2 linked regions of the Rhinolophus ferrumequinum genome follow. The protein of the gene in region 2 binds, or shares a complex with, the protein of the main gene of each other region. Links are inferred from orthologs where the notes say so. Each region holds a gene or a part of one and is shown on either strand. Other genes may lie near its edges.

Region 1 (7,930 bases), on a different chromosome or scaffold from region 2:
TGTGAATGTGTACCTACCAGGCCCTATAAAATCCTATATGATCCTGCCTAATTCTTTGACACCATTTCCTCTCCACTCTTGTCTGGGCACACAGTAGGTACTGGATATTATTAGGTTGGTGCAACAGTAAGTGAGGTTTAAAAAGTTAAAAAAAAAAATTGCAAACACTGCAATTACTTTTGCACCAACCTAATAACAAGTTAAAACTTATTGAGTACTGTATGTTGAGTATGCTAACTAGTTACATACATTAGTTCATTTAATGATATAAACAGTGGCTCTTAACATTTTCTGGGTAAGCCACATCTTTTGAAATCTGGAAGAAAAACAAGCTATGGACCTATTCCCTGAAAATGTATATGTGTCTTAATTTTTTCAACATATGCTTTTCTATAAACTGAATTTTCCCCCCAAATATTCTAAGAGAATTTCCAATGGCATTCTAATTGGTAAAGAACTCAACTCGAATAAATAACTAAAGCATTCCAAAAATGGTAACAAAGAAAAGCTGTGTGTAACACAAAATGTCAATTTTTCAAATTCCTAAGGGATATTATGATGAGAAGCTCAACTATAACAAAAATACACTTATTGGGAGTAGGATCCAGTAATCAACAAGGATGGCCTTATGATACCATACTTTGGGGCATAACTCAGACTGCATTGAGATTTACTCTCATACATTCAGTAATTAGATGGCTTTACTTGATTTCAGTTTTCTCCTTTTCAAAGAAGTCCCAGCAAACTTAGCATTAAAAAGACAAATGAGTAAATTACCTAAACTTTTACAAACCATTATTATTTGAATTAAAATTTAAAGACAGAGATAAGTAGAACACTAAAAATAAAGTGAGAGCGCTAGGCAGTGAAATGTTTCAGGATGAGATACTTATTTAGAAGCTGAATTTAAATTCAAAGTGCTCAATTTGATTTTGTCAGATTTTAAAAAATGTTTATGTGGAGAAGGGTGAAACTCTATAAAAGATGAGACTGAAAACTTTTAAAAATTAAGAGTGCAAATAATTAATGGAGATGGACCAAAGGAAAAAATATGTTTCTAATACTCTTCCTGGCCAAAGAAGGAAAAAGAAATTAAGACAAGGATAAATGAAACACAACGAACACAGCTCTAAAATCTCCAAAACGTATAAATCTAAAAATAACCTTATAATAAAATAAAAATTGTTATAGCAATTACTTCTACTTCTATCACTTGGCTGACTTTTTTTAAAAATTGTGGTAAAAGATACATAATATACAATTTACCCTTTTCACCATTTTTAAGTGTATAGTTCAGTGACATTAAGTACATTCACAATGTTGTGTAACCATCATCACCATCCATCTCCAGAACTTTTTCACCTTCCCAAAATGAAACTACTCATTAAACAGTAACTCCCCATTCCCTTGGCTGACTTTTTTAATAAACCCCCCCCCCCAACATTTTTTCTGGCAAGAAAAGGACATTTTAACAAGAGAGTACCCAGGCAGGAAAAAGAATCTCCTTTGACTCTGAACACCCATAATTTCTTATACAGTCTGTACCTGCACTCAAAAAACTTAAGACTCAGTTAAACTTGAAACTGAAGACAAAGTAATATATTATTTATGTATATACCTAATTATTCTTTCAATAAATGTTCATTGAAGGCCTACTACTTGCCAGACACTTGCTAAGCCCTTAGGATCCAACTATAAACAAGGCAGACTTGGAATTTATAATCTAGTGTGAAAGGGGCAAAGTTAACAGAATAACTGTCTTACAATGAAGATACTGAGATAGTGAACAATGGTGAAGAGGGGTAAATGTGTTCTGGGAAAGACTCTCAGGGAGGCAACATCTCAAATGAGACCTGAAACTGCAAGTGTTTACATGTTTGATTAATCTTTTCCTCTCCCAAAGCACCTAGCGTTATGCCTTTCATACAGCAGGTAGTTGATATAGCTAGCATTCTTGGCCTCAATTTCCTCATTCCTGAAATGAACTTCTAAGATTCCTTCCACACAGAAAATGTGTTGGTTTGAGGAGGGAAAAATCACATATCAATGAAATGGACGTGGGGATGGGGGCAGTGGAAGGAAAAACTGAGTTCAGAAATGACTACAAGACTCTAACTCTCTAAAGGGGAATCGAGAGCATGAGCACTTAGTTGCTGAGATGACATGCGTCTTAGACAATAGTATATAAACAGAAATCGTTCATTCATTCAGCTTAAGGAAACAACACATACAGCTGAAGCAAGACAAGTTGAGGCGTGTGCTAGATTGCAATAAAAAATTCAATCCTCATTTTCCTGGGGACTCTCAGGGCGAGTGGCCGAGAAGTTCTCCCACTTCTCTTGCTGCCAGGGCAACGGTATCAATCTGGGGAGATAGGAGAGAATCATGTTTCCTTCCTTTTCAGTCCCGGGATGAGGTCGGCCACCAATCCCAGCTAGAGTTTGAGAGAATCACTCCAGATGATCAAAGGTAAGAGAACCGACCCTTAATGGGGCGCCACAGAAGGAGAAAGCTACATACGGTAAGTCATCTCTTTCCCTCCAGCAGTATCTCCTCCTCGGTCTCAGGTCCACCCAAATGGGGCTAAAGGAAGGGCAAGGCCCGTGGTGGGACCTTCGCGGGTACCCTCCTCTACCCTCCTGGTACACAGCAGGGAGGCAGGGCACCTTCGGAGCCGCTGTGAAAAATCGGCGATGTGAAGACGCACCCGCATCCCAAGGAAGAGAAGTGGAAGAGAAAGGAGAGGAGCCAAAGAAAGAAGTGTTAGTTCGAGAGGCAGACGGAGAGCGGAGCAAAGGAGGTTGCAGGTGAAGGATCGCCGAGCCGGCTCTTACCGTCTGTGGGAGACGCCATCTTCCAACCCATGTCACGTGACGTGGCCAACCGTCGGCGGGAAAGCTAGGACCCATAAGCCACGCCCCCAAAGAGAAACCCAATCCCCAACTCGCAGTCCCGTCTCATTTCCCCGCCCATAGGGCAATCTTTGCTTAACCCCGCCCCCAGCGCTGGTCACACCCCCTCGCGCACTGCATGAGGTGGAGCGACTGCAAAATTACTGGAGGGTTTTATTTACTTTCTCCAATGACGGGGTGGGGCCGCAGTCATCGCGGTGGCCAATCGGGATTCCCGGTTAGGGGGCGTCGTCCCTGTGTGCTGAATATAGAGTACTCAAGTCAGGGGCGTCTTCCCTGCCTCTGCCAACAGAATTTGCTGAGGTGGGAGAGGGCCGAGAGATCTTTCACTTCTGACCAATCACATGTCCTCCCAACTGGGAGTGGAGTCATAGTTAGGGCGCGTGATTGGCTGGTCCTCTCCACCAATGAGGAGGTGCGGCAGGATGGAGAGGCGAAATCTGGCAGCCGTGTGCTTCTGGGAGTCCCGGGCGGTAGAGGCACCCCGAGGCGGAGAAGAGGCAGCTGAGAACCATGGCGGCGGTAGTGGCGGCGGCGGCAGTGAGGGCTCGGATCCTGCAGGCGAGTGAGGGTGGCGCCGAGGGGTCGCGAAGCTAGGAACTGTGTCCTTTCCGTCCACTCTCTGAGCCCACGACTTCTTGGCCCACCCTACTGTTCCCATCTTACCTGTGCGGCCCTTGTCTCACTCTCCTCACTCCGTAGCCGCCCTCGTTGGATCCAGCCCAGGACTGTCACCCCTCTAGCCCCCCACCCTTTGACTCTTGGGCCTCCCCTCATCTGGCTCTGGCCCACCCCGCTCCTCCAGCCCTGCCCCCGTTATTGCTGTGACACTTTCTTGCCCTCACCGCTGTCGCCGCACACATTCTTTCACCTCTGCACCTGCAACCGATCGATCTCCTCTGTACTTGAAACCTGTCTCCCCAGAAACTCCCCTCTGGTCACCTTTTTTAGAGCTCCTTCACCTGCCCTGTGCGTCCAGATTGTTCCCTTCCCCCACCCTACTTCACTGTCTATAATCCGAGCTAAGGGGTGGGGAGGAGGCACATGAGGGGCGAGGGTCAGTGAATGAACTTGAATCTCCTCCGAGAAGTGTACAGTAGGTTTCCCCCCCAAAGAAGCCCGTTTCCCTAGCTTTGGTTATTTGTATTTTCCACAGGCCATGAGCAGTGTGCCCTTGCTTGCTAGGACTTTCAGTTAAACACTCAGCAAAGTTACAGTGTTCCTGTTAGCGGTAAATAAGGACACATATTTATGTTCCTACTTTGTTCCAAGTACGTGCACGGAACAAAACATCTCTAACACAGGTGATAGAAAATGGGAGCCAAGGAAGACAAGAAGGGCAAGTCCCAAGCTCCTGCCCCCAGGTCAGCTCTTCGTGGGCCAACACACCCTCAGCAGTGCCCATGGGGTGTGGGGGTGGGGTCCTCTGTGAAGCCAGCCTTAGAAGAGCTGGTAGAGCTACCGGAGCTCATGCCTGAGGCCTGGGATTCTCTAACTGTTCAAGGCCTTTCCCCTGTTCTTCACAACCTAGCAAGGACTTAGAACATGAGGCAAGATTTACTGCAGTCAACGTTCTCCAACCTGCAAGAAAAAGCATTGCCCTTACTCATTAATCCAGCCTGGGAACTTATTTCTCTATATTGCTGGACGTTTCGATAATAATAGTATTTATCAGGTTTCAGTGAGTTCTACTGCATAAACTTATGCATTTTTAAGATTCTTAGCAGAGTCAGCAGAGGTTAATGTTTAAATATGCTGTTTACTAGGATAGTGTGGAGAATGGGTTGGAAGCGTTTGTCAGATGGTCTGACTTCACTCATGTAATTCTTGCTGTGATCCTAGTTTTATTTTCCTAGTATCTTTTTTTCACAATGGGGAATCAGTTTCCACCCGGTAGTATTTTCCATTACTAACTTCTCTATGAACTCTTTGACTGAAATTGACTTTTGCCTACTTCCCCTCCACTCAGTCACAATGAGTCATTGACAGCTTTAAGAAGATATTTTGTCTTTTGCATCAAGAAGAAGAATCTCCCTTCCCATGTACTTTATTTTGGAAACAGACACTATTTTCTGATTCATGTGAAGAAACTTCTAAGTTGAACTAGAAAAGAACAGAAATAGTAATCCTTAGCCAACTAATAGTTACTGTAACATGAAACTTTGATAAAGAGTAGTCTAGATCCTGGCAGTTGTAAGTTTTAGAGGACTATCAAAAGGGTCTGTAAAGGAGAGAGTTCATGTTTTCAGTTATTTAAAGTACATATTTAGTGGGTCTTCTCTGTTTTGGTGGCTAGTAAAATTGAGAACTTCTGCTCCTTGTGGTATTATCACTCCCATTGAGAAAACCAGTCTTAGGGAGTCTCAGTGACTTACCTCAGTGATGTAGAAAGAGTACAGGCTTCAGTCATACTTGGATTCTACCTCAGCTTCACCACTTTCTAAGTTTAAGAATATTTGTGAAGATTAGAATTAACAGATATAATAAAGTAAGTTACCTAACACTTAAGGCTAAGGTCATCCAAAATCTCTCAACTAGTAACTGAATTCGGAAATGAAGTCTTGGCATCTCTTTCTGTGTCAGGCACTTACCCCAGGCTTTGGGAAAGGAGAGATAAATAAAATACTCGCTGAAAGCTTCCCTATTGTAATGCAGTAATAAGTGCTAAACAATAAGAATGCACAGGGTATTTGGGAAACAAACTCAGCCTGTGCAATTCAGGAAAGCTTCCAAAATGGGTTGGCTCTGTCTGGGCTTGAGTCTTGCAAGACTAGCAGGCCTTTAGCCAAGAGGAGAAGGGAGTTCCTGGTAAAGGAAATACCAAGTATGAAATAAACATCTAGAGAACAAGATGTTAGATGTGACTAGGCATAGGATAGTTTCTTTAGCAAGAGTGCTAATGATTGTTTCTAGGGAAATGAAACAAAGAAAGGAGGATATCTAACCTGTCAAAAACTATGTGATAATGTTTTATTATACCAAATGCAGTGCCTTTTATGCCCTCTTGATAGCAGGGAGGCTGTGTGCAAGTGAAAATAAAACTAAGTGGCCTAGAATGCTCAAGCTGGCTGATCTATGCATTTTCTGCCCTATAAGAGAGTACACATGAAACAAAATTAATATCAAACAATTGCTTGGTGAGTACTCATTCTTTCATTCTGCAAAATATCACTAACTGCTTACTCTATTCCAAAAATGGCGCGAGGGGCCGAGGACACAGTCATCTAGTGATCTAAGGGCATCATTTATTAGTATGAAGGGGAGACAGAGTTAATAATTAAACAAGCTATTATTCCATAAGGTGGTATGAGGAATAGAAGAACTCAGGTGTTTTATGAATTGCACCATCAGGTTCTTAGCCTGGACTTGAGATTGAGACTTAAAAACTTCCAAGTCTGTTATTTCGCTCACTCTTAGGAGTTAACCTTGTTTCTCCTACTTCAGAGGAAGCGGAAACGATCAAGTGAGAACCTCCTGAACTTCCTATTAGCAAACCTGCAAATCTGACGTGCACCTACACCCCAAGTGATGGCTAAGTAGGGAGCAAAAGAGTAGGGGTAAGTCAAGCAAATGGGATAAAACAATTCCAGGAAAGAGGAAGCAACATGTGCAAGGACAAAGAGAGCACAAAACATGTTCCGAATGGCTGGGTCATAGAGCAAGGAGGAAAGTGGCAACCTATGAAACCAGAGAAGTAAAGATACTATGTAGAGTCTTCTAAGCAACAAAAACATTTGTCTTTATCCCAAGGGTGGTGGCAAGTCATTGGAGGGTTTTAAACAAGGGGGTGGTCTGACCAGATTTGTGTTTTAGAAAGACCCTCTGGTTAGGGGGTGGAAACTAGATTCAGAAAGTTTAAGATTGAAATCCAGGTGAGAGACAATGATGGTGTAGACTGGGGTGGTAGCAGGACGGGTAGAGAAAAAGGGGTGTATTCAAACACGGGAGAACAAATTGCCAGGACTTGTTTGATTTGCTATAAAGAGAAACAGAGTAGTTGGGTGACATTCAGGTTTCTGGTTGGGCAACTAGGTGACTAGTAGTCCCGTTCACTGAAAAGTGGGCTATAGGAAGCAGAGCAGATTGATGGGAGGAAGATGAGGAGTTCAGCTTTTTCAATATGTGCCTAAATAATATCCACATAGAGATATAGTGAAGACAGTTATGTGGGTATTACCTGAAGAGAGAGATTTGGGCATCATCGGGATCTAGGTAATTAAACCACAGAGTTGTGGCGATCACTCAAGGAGAGTATGCAGAATGAGAAGAAGGCCTACGACCAAGCTTTGAGGACCTAACTCGATGTGACCAGGTAGAAGAGAATGTCAGCAAAGAAGGCAGACAAGTGGCCCAAGAGATAAAAGAGATACCAGGTATCACAGAAGACAAGTGAAAGGGGGATCAGAAAGGAGGGCATGATTGACGATGTGTTACATAAAATTTCCAAGGGCTGAGAGACCAAACAAAGAGTCTGATAATTCTATCATTACAGAAAGAGGTTTTTTTTGTTGTTGTTGTTTTCTAACGATTTTTTTGGAGAAGGAGAACAGGACTTTATTGGGGAACAGTGTGTATTTCCAGGACTTTATTGGGAAGCTGTGTTTTTCCCAGAACCCGTCAGGTTGTTGTCCTTTCGATCTTAGTTGTGGAGGGCGCAGCTCAGCTCCAAGTCCAGTTGCCATTCGGTTCAATCTTAGTTGCAGGGGGCACAGCCCACCATCCCTTGCGGGAGTCGAACCGGCAACCTTGTGGTTGAGAGCACATGCTCCAACCAACTGAGCCATCCGGCTGCACGGGAGCTCAGCGGCAGGTCATTGTCTTCAATCTAGTTGCGGAGGGCACAGCTCACTGGCCCAGGTGGGAATCGAATTGGCAACCCTGTTGCCCAGAGCTCATGCTCTAACCAACTGAGCTACCTGTCTGCCCCCATAAAGAGTTTTTTAAGGGAACTTATATACGAGGCTCATCTTGGGTGACAGAAAGACAGCATGCATAGTCTCTGTGCCCCGTGGCAGGCA
Region 2 (7,200 bases):
ATTTGGAGCAATTGGTTATGCAGCAATAGATCACTAGATACCTACAATTTAGAAGGAACTTTTTGGATCTATCTGAATCGAATACAAAGTTTCACTTTCCAAAGGGGACACAGAGGCGTAGGGAGCCCTAGGGACAGAGGAGCAGTGACAGGCCTCCGACTAACCTGGGGCTTCTCCCACCACTCCTAACTGGAGAAGGTGCCTGGAGCGGCAAGGCCTGGATAGCCATGGGTCAGCTGGCTTTTTCCCTTCATCTATGGATGCCTTCTGGCAAGGATGTGTTTCCCCCAGCTTCTGATGAAAAAATTGAAACAGGAAAGTGGAAAGACTAATACAATAAACACCAGTACCCACCATTTATTTTCAAAAACTAACATACTGCCATATATGCTTTATGTTAATTTTTCTTACTGAACACTTGAAATGAAATCGGATATAACACTTTACCCCTAAATATACTTCATTCTATAACTACAATATACCATTATGACGTACTATTTAATGCTTATTCAAATGCCTCCAAATTGTCCCCAAAGTATGTTTTATAGATGTTTTTTTCAAGCCAGGATCCAGTCATGGTTCACACATTGGATTTGTCTCTAGTCTGCCTACCTCTTTTGTTTCTTTTTTTAATGGCATTGACTTTTTGATGAGATTAAATTAGGTGTCCCTCACTCTGGGTTTATCTGATAGTTTCATCATGGTGTCTACTAACTTCTCCCTTTAGCTCCTTTATTTCTTGCGAACTGGAGGTTAGGTTTAAAGGCTTGACTAGCTTTCAATTAAACATTTTTGGCAAGACTATTTCATAGGTGATGCTGTGTATAATACGAGGTCAGATTGGACCTCTATTAGTGAAATGAAGTTGAATCACTTGGTTAAGGTAGTGAGCAGGGGTGCTTTAAATTCAAACGTGAACTATTAATATAAGAATGCCCTTTAACCCCAGTTGCTGTTCACCTATGTGCACGAACTTTTTCCAGCCTCTTGAGATGAAAAAGTTAACTGACTTGAACAAGTGTTTCAAGTTCATTCTTAAAAAAAAAAAAAAAGTTACAGTACTAGTCCTAGCAGGTAACAGCATAATTTTATTACTGGAGATTTTGTTGGAGTAAAATACACCTCTGACTGGAGAAGCATTAGTGTCAAAAAGAAGAGGAGATAACAAAGAGAAAGGGGAGATGTGTGTTGGTGACAAAACATCTTTTTCTTTCCCTAAGAGCAAGGAGGAAATTTTGTGGTATCTTATGATTCATAGATCTAGTTGGCTTTCCTTAGGTTACTGTTCCCTAAAAGGTCACAGGGCACTACATATGCCTTAATGAAATTTAAAAATTTCTTTAAATAAAAAAATTTAGGTAATAACTGAAAACGGAACTGAAGGATGAAGAGAAAGAATTTCACCCTCTTCAGGCATTCAGTTCCCCTTCGTGCAACCAATATTATCAACTTTTTTTCTCCGCCTTTAAGAGACAGGAAGAAATACACACTTTAAAAATAAAAATCTTGCTTATGCCAAATTTTAACATGAAGCCTACTGTTTCACCCCAGGGCTGCGCTCCTGCAGGCAGCCCATAATCTAATCCCGGAGAGACATTAACCTCCTAAGAGTAGAAAACGGTGACAAACAGCATAAAGGAAATTTGCAGTGTTAGGGGCTTGTCCAGAGCTGCTGACGCACACGGGGAGTCATCAGGGGAGGCTAGAGGCAGAATGGGGTCTACAGGGCTCCGGGCCGGGGGCGATTACTAACCGCGAACTCCTGTGACCGCCAAAATGTCAGAGGCCGAAGATGTACCCTCCCTGCTCCCTCTCATCCGCGGAGCTTTTCTTCCTCCGCACGACCCCAAAAGGCAGGCGTCAAGGGAGGTCTCCCAGCGACGATGACTCGGGGGGCGCGGGGCTGGCGGGATCGAAGGCAAGACAGTTGCGGGGGACCAAGCTGCCGAAACCCGAGAGGCTCCAAGCGGACCCCGAGCGCAGGCGCCCCCTGGTGACGTCAGGTAGCGAAGAGACTCCCGCGATGCCCCGCGCGGTGCCTGAGTCGGAGCGCGCGCGCCTGTAGTGGGTGCTTTGTGGGCGGAGGCGTGGGACCCGCAGTCCGACAGCACCGGGTCTTAGGCCTCCGTTTCCTTCCGGGCGCCTAGAACAGGTCAAGTCACTGCCCCGGGTCGTCGCGGGCGGCGAGAGACTGATGATGCTTGTGAGAGTACGTACAGTGTGCCAAGCAACTTCCTGAACCTCAACGGACAAGCATGAGGGTAGCTGAAGAGTAATAATAAAAATAATAACAACTAAAAGTAATATAGTACTTATTATGTACCACGGATTGTTTTCAGTGGTTTATACATTAATTTATTTAATCCTACAACCACCCGACAAAGTAGGTACCAGTGTAGTTAGTGATTGAGAGCATACACTGGAGAACTAGACAGCCTAGGTTTGAATCCCTGCTTTGCCATTTACTAGCAATGTGACATGGGGGGCGGGGGGTGGAGGGGGACAGGATACTGTGTCTCAGTTTCCCCATCTACCAAAAGAAGATAATATTAATACTACCTAATAGAGTTGTTATGAGGATTAAATGGATTAAAATTTGGAAAGCATACAGAACAGTGGCTGGCACATAAGGAAAAGCTATCTAAGTTTTTGAAAAATCTTATTTTTACAGGTGAGAACACTGATGCACAGAGGAGTTAAGTAATTTGCCTAAGACCACACAACTACCGTGTTTCCCTGAAAATAAGACCTAGCTGGAAAATAAGCCCTAGCATGATTTTTCAGGGTGACATCCCCTGAACATAAGCCCTAATGCGTCTTTTGGAGCAAAAATTAATATAAGACCCGGTCTTATTTTCCGGGAAACACGGTAGTAAATGATAGAGCCGGGAATCAAACTTTAGGAAGTTTGGCTTCAGAGCCTGGACTCTTAAATACTATGGCCTAGCAATGAAAACGTGATGTCCATATGAATTACTTTATGAGGGAGGTGGGTGACATAAGCGCTGAATTAATTGTTGTGGAAACTTCTAGCACTTAAGACGTCAGCGTTCCTTCTGCGGGAAATGAGGTTTACACCAGCTGGCAGGACTGTCCCCAGGGGTCCAGCAGTTTCTGGAAGAGGGGTCTGAGGCATACGCAGGGGCTAAGAAGGTGGGGTTCAGCCAGGTCTCCCCAGGCTCCTGTCTCAGAGTTCATTTACCTTGCTTTCAGCACTCGTCCCAGGGAGCAGGGTGTGGAGGGTACTTGGTAAATGGCAACTTAAAATGGAAAATCCTTGCTAAGCCTCTAAGAGTTTAATCACCTGAGTGGGAAACAGAATTCAACTCCACAGTTGAATTCTGGGTCTTGGGGATCCTGTGGTGAATGCAGGGGCCACTTGGACATCAGTATGCCTACAGTTCAAAGGGGAGACGCACAAGTTTATAAACAGATTGTGGGCAGTGAACCCCAAGGATAAATAGGAAATAGTCAGGTGGGAGGGGCAGGAAGTGTTCCTGGCCCAGGTAATGGCCCAAGCAAACGCAAGGAGCCCAGTAAGTTTCCTATGGTAAGGGGTGAGGTGGTGATCTGGCAGAATCCTATAAACCAGATTAAGGTGCATTTTACTCAGAGAATGAGGGCAGAGGTTTTAAGTTCTGGAGAGGCTAGATCAGTTTTACAATTTAGGAGGATCTCTCGAGCTGTCAGGAGTCCATCCGAGGAGCCAGAGCCCCTGAATTCGAGGCTGGAGAGGAAGCAGGGAGACGGTTCTAAGGCACAGCCCTGGTTTAGGTGAGTTGGCCACCTTGGGGCGGGGAGGGGGGTTCTATAGACCGTAGGAGCAGCTTGGAGTAGTCCTGGGGTCTTTGCACGGATGGTATCCCCAGCCTGATTTTCCCATCCCTGCGGCTCACTCCGTATCCTTAATCTTGGCTGTGTGGGCTACTCCTTGGCGGCTCTGATTCACACATGGCGTGAGCCTCAGTCACTGGGCAGCGTGTTCAGAGCCCTGTCTCCCAAGGTGCCACAGGCCTTGTCCTACCTGCCCTGGGACTTCAGGGCTCTGGAGCTGTGCGCAGCCGGCCTGCCTGCCTACTGGGCCGGGGCTCAGCCCCGCCTCCACCAGGCCCCGCCCCCAAGCCCGCCCGCCCGCCAGCGCGCCAGGCCCGGGCGGTGCCGACGCGCTTGGCGGGAGATAGGAAAGTGCTTCTGCGCGCGCCGGCGGCAGCTGCAGCTCCTGCGAGCCGCGGTGGGACCTGCGGGCACGCTGAAGCCTTCCAGCGCGGCCCCGAGGCCCGGAGCGGCCAAAGCAGCCCGCGCTCTGACCCCGGCCCGGCTCCCGCTCCGGGCTCAGCCGGCGGGCAGGCGAGCGCGGCGCGGCCCGGGCCGGGGGGATGTCTCGGCGAACGCGCGGGTGAGCAAAGCCAGGAGGCTTAGGTCCCCTACCCACTCCCCAGGTCCCATCCTCCTCCATCCCGACCCCTGCTCTACCCCCATCCTCATCATAGTCCCTCCGAGCGGGCGGGTGTGGGGGTTTCCCGCGGGAATGCTGAGTCCTGGGCCGCCCGAGGCAGGGGGCGCGCGAAGCCGGGGGTCTCTTTGGGCCCATCGTTCAGTTTCCCAAGCCTGCTGGGCCTCGGAGCCGGGGCGGGCGGGTCTCTTGGGCCCTGGGCCAATCCCTGCATGATGTCATTTTGCCTCCCGCCTAATTTCGGGTTGGGGGTAGGACGGCGGTGTCCGCTGGAAGAGCCATGACCGGGGAGGGAGGCGACCCCTGGAGAGGGAAAGGGATTCTCTAAGTCACAGCGCGCGAGAGGCCAAACCTGGAAGACACTTGTCGTTCAAGCCTCTTTGGGTTCAGATTTGCTGGTGGGCGGTTTTTCTCAGCATTCGGGAAAGTACAGAGCACCCCAAGTCCTCTCCCCGGCCTAAGAAGAGTGCCGGGGGGTGAGGAGGCCCTCTTTTGTCCCCCACCACCTGGGATCGCGGCCCCAGCTGGGTTGAGTTTCAGAGACTTAACTGCTCCACATGAGGAGTTTTGGGCAGCTGGAGTTAAAGGTGACGGACGAGGAAGAGAGACTGATGTGTATCACGACCTCTCTGTGCCAGCAGCCCCTGGGGCCCAGGCAGGAACTGCGGTCTCCATTTTACTTATTCCCCTGGAGAATAAGTGGTAGGGTTGAGCCTGAGACCGGGTCTGTGGGCTCCAGGTGCCTTTCTTACACCTGTGTGCCTGGGGCTTGAGCTCTGGGCTTTTCAGCCAGCCTGGGAGTCAGGGAGGACAATGAGCTCCTGCCCTGTGCCCTCCCTGGATTCATGCAGCCCAGATAACCTTAAACCCCTCTCTGGATGGTGTTTGCCTTCTCAGGCTGAGGATATCGACTTGAAAAGCACTCTTTGCAGGCTTTCCCCAGAGTTCTTTTCAGCACAGAAGCATCTGATCCCTGGGCAGTGGTCAGGGTGCCTCTTCCTCAGGCCACAATTTCCTAGGTCAGCTCCACTCCTCAGGAGTTCTCTGGTCAAGCACTTGTCAGACCCTTTCCTGATTTTTGGTTCAGGGAGTGTTACTCCAAGGAGCCATAAAAGCCAGGCCTTCTGCCACTTCTCCCTGGGGCTCAGTGTAGGAACCCCCTCCTGCACTCTCACCCCACAGCCCTCCGCTTCATCCTTGGCCACTTGCTGTAACTTCTCTGCACTGGTGCCCCACTTCCCGCTCAGCTTCTGACTCACCCCACCTGGAGCAGAGCCCAGCACATCCAAGGGTGTAGAATGGGTGTGTTGGACCTCCACGTGGTTGCCACCACTGACTTGGCTTCTGCCTTTTCAGCTGGGATTACTAGGGGAGAACTTGAAAGTGTAGGTTTGGAGCCTCGCTCAGTGGACTTGGCAAGTGGCCTAATTCCAGGGAGCCTCAATTTCCACATCTATTAAGTGGGGATAATGAGAATGCCTGTGAAGTGGATGGTTAGCACTATATTGGTGATAGAAGTTTATCTCAGAATTCGCCCAGCTGAGTTGTTGGTCCCATTAAGTAGAGTATCAGAGCATTAGAAAGTGTAGAAAGACACTTCTTCATCCTTGAAGGAACATCTGCTGAGCGTCTATCAGAAGTTGGGTGCTAGGGAACCAAAGGTAACTGTCAGAAAGAGGTCTGGGGGTAGTTGATTTTAAAGCCAGCTTCATTCATTCTGTTACAAGTATCTTGTAGAATTTTTGTCTCCTACTTTGCAATGGAGGACCCCATGAATTTGGTCAGGAATTCCAGCTCCTGTGACTAATGTATTGCTGGGATTAGACACTCTTAGACCCTTCCTTTTCTACTTCTAAAAATTTTATTTTAATTGCTATTTCTTATCTACTAATAGGCAACAGCTTTGTGTGTTTATTCATTCATTTCAGTACCGGGCATTCCCTGAGCAAACATTTAAGATCTTTTGATACCAATCCCCTAAGGCTCTGCAGCTGTGGAGGTGGAGCTGACCTCTGTGTAGATGTCAAGGAGACAGGTAGCCTAAGGGCCTACATTCTGAGCTAGGAGGATTGCCAAGGTGCCCTGGGAGCACAGGGAGATACTGACTTCTGGAGAAGGGGAAAGGAAGTTGAGAAGGAAGCCCTCTTCCTTCTTTTCACACTGGGCCTGTACTTGCCTTGCCTGTTTGGAGAAGTGTAGGCTTTTCTCACTTCCAAATGGCTGACTTAGGAATGTACCTGACTGGTGACCTGACACAGGTCCCACTCACCACAGGGAGTTGGGAGCTCACTAACCGGGGCACACCTGACATCACTGGAGGTGGATAATCATTAAACCTGATGAAGATTTTAGAGCAACTTGGAAAATTGCCTGCTAGAAAATAAAAACATCAAGAATTCAAAAAGTTGATTTTTCTCTCCATAAATTATGCCTGTGTGTTCCCAAGGATTGAGAGGGGATATGCAAAAATGGGCATAGTTAGTAAGATAATGTATTTTAAAATGTTTTTCCCAAATAACCAATATTTCTTAAAATTCTGGCACTTGATGATTGCATATGTCATCAGCTTCAATCCTTAGACTATCCATGCAAGTTTACGAAGTTTTGTCACTGAAAAGAGAATATTAAATGGGGGTCGGGTTTTGAATATCACAATATTCTTGGTGAAATCTCCACTGCTTTTTCTCTTGTAGCTTTTGACATCCTGTTCTTGAAAATAAAGAAGACAATAAAAGAGCCCATAACCC

The links.
Region 1: the proteins of MYBL2 (region 2) and LIN52 are in contact, whole or in part, in a crystal structure (PDB 6C48), measured with the Homo sapiens proteins. The link is inferred for Rhinolophus ferrumequinum from reciprocal best matches to the Homo sapiens genes MYBL2 and LIN52. Residues at the interface, in NP_002457.1 of Homo sapiens: Trp663, Val666, Ala667, Gly669, Thr671, Asp673, Gln674, Phe676, Lys680, Ala681, Gln683, Leu684; in NP_001019845.2 of Homo sapiens: Gln84, Ala87, Tyr88, Gly91, Leu92, Glu94, Ser95, Met98, Thr99, Lys102, Phe103, Leu107, Glu108, Lys109.

What each region holds. Positions count from the first base shown.
Region 1 is NC_046289.1:24,300,861-24,308,790, forward strand, and holds the start of LIN52 (protein lin-52 homolog), read right to left. Parts: upstream 3,001-7,930; 5' UTR 2,866-3,000; coding exon 2,835-2,865; intron 2,690-2,834; exon of another isoform or gene 2,531-2,689; coding exon of another isoform or gene 2,521-2,530; intron 1-2,520. Other genes in the region: ALDH6A1 (methylmalonate-semialdehyde dehydrogenase [acylating], mitochondrial), read left to right, coding at 3,426-3,473.
Region 2 is NC_046306.1:13,696,772-13,703,971, reverse strand, and holds the start of MYBL2 (myb-related protein B), read left to right. Parts: upstream 1-4,181; 5' UTR 4,182-4,376; coding exon 4,377-4,396; intron 4,397-7,200. UniProt on the Homo sapiens protein: Transcription factor involved in the regulation of cell survival, proliferation, and differentiation. Transactivates the expression of the CLU gene.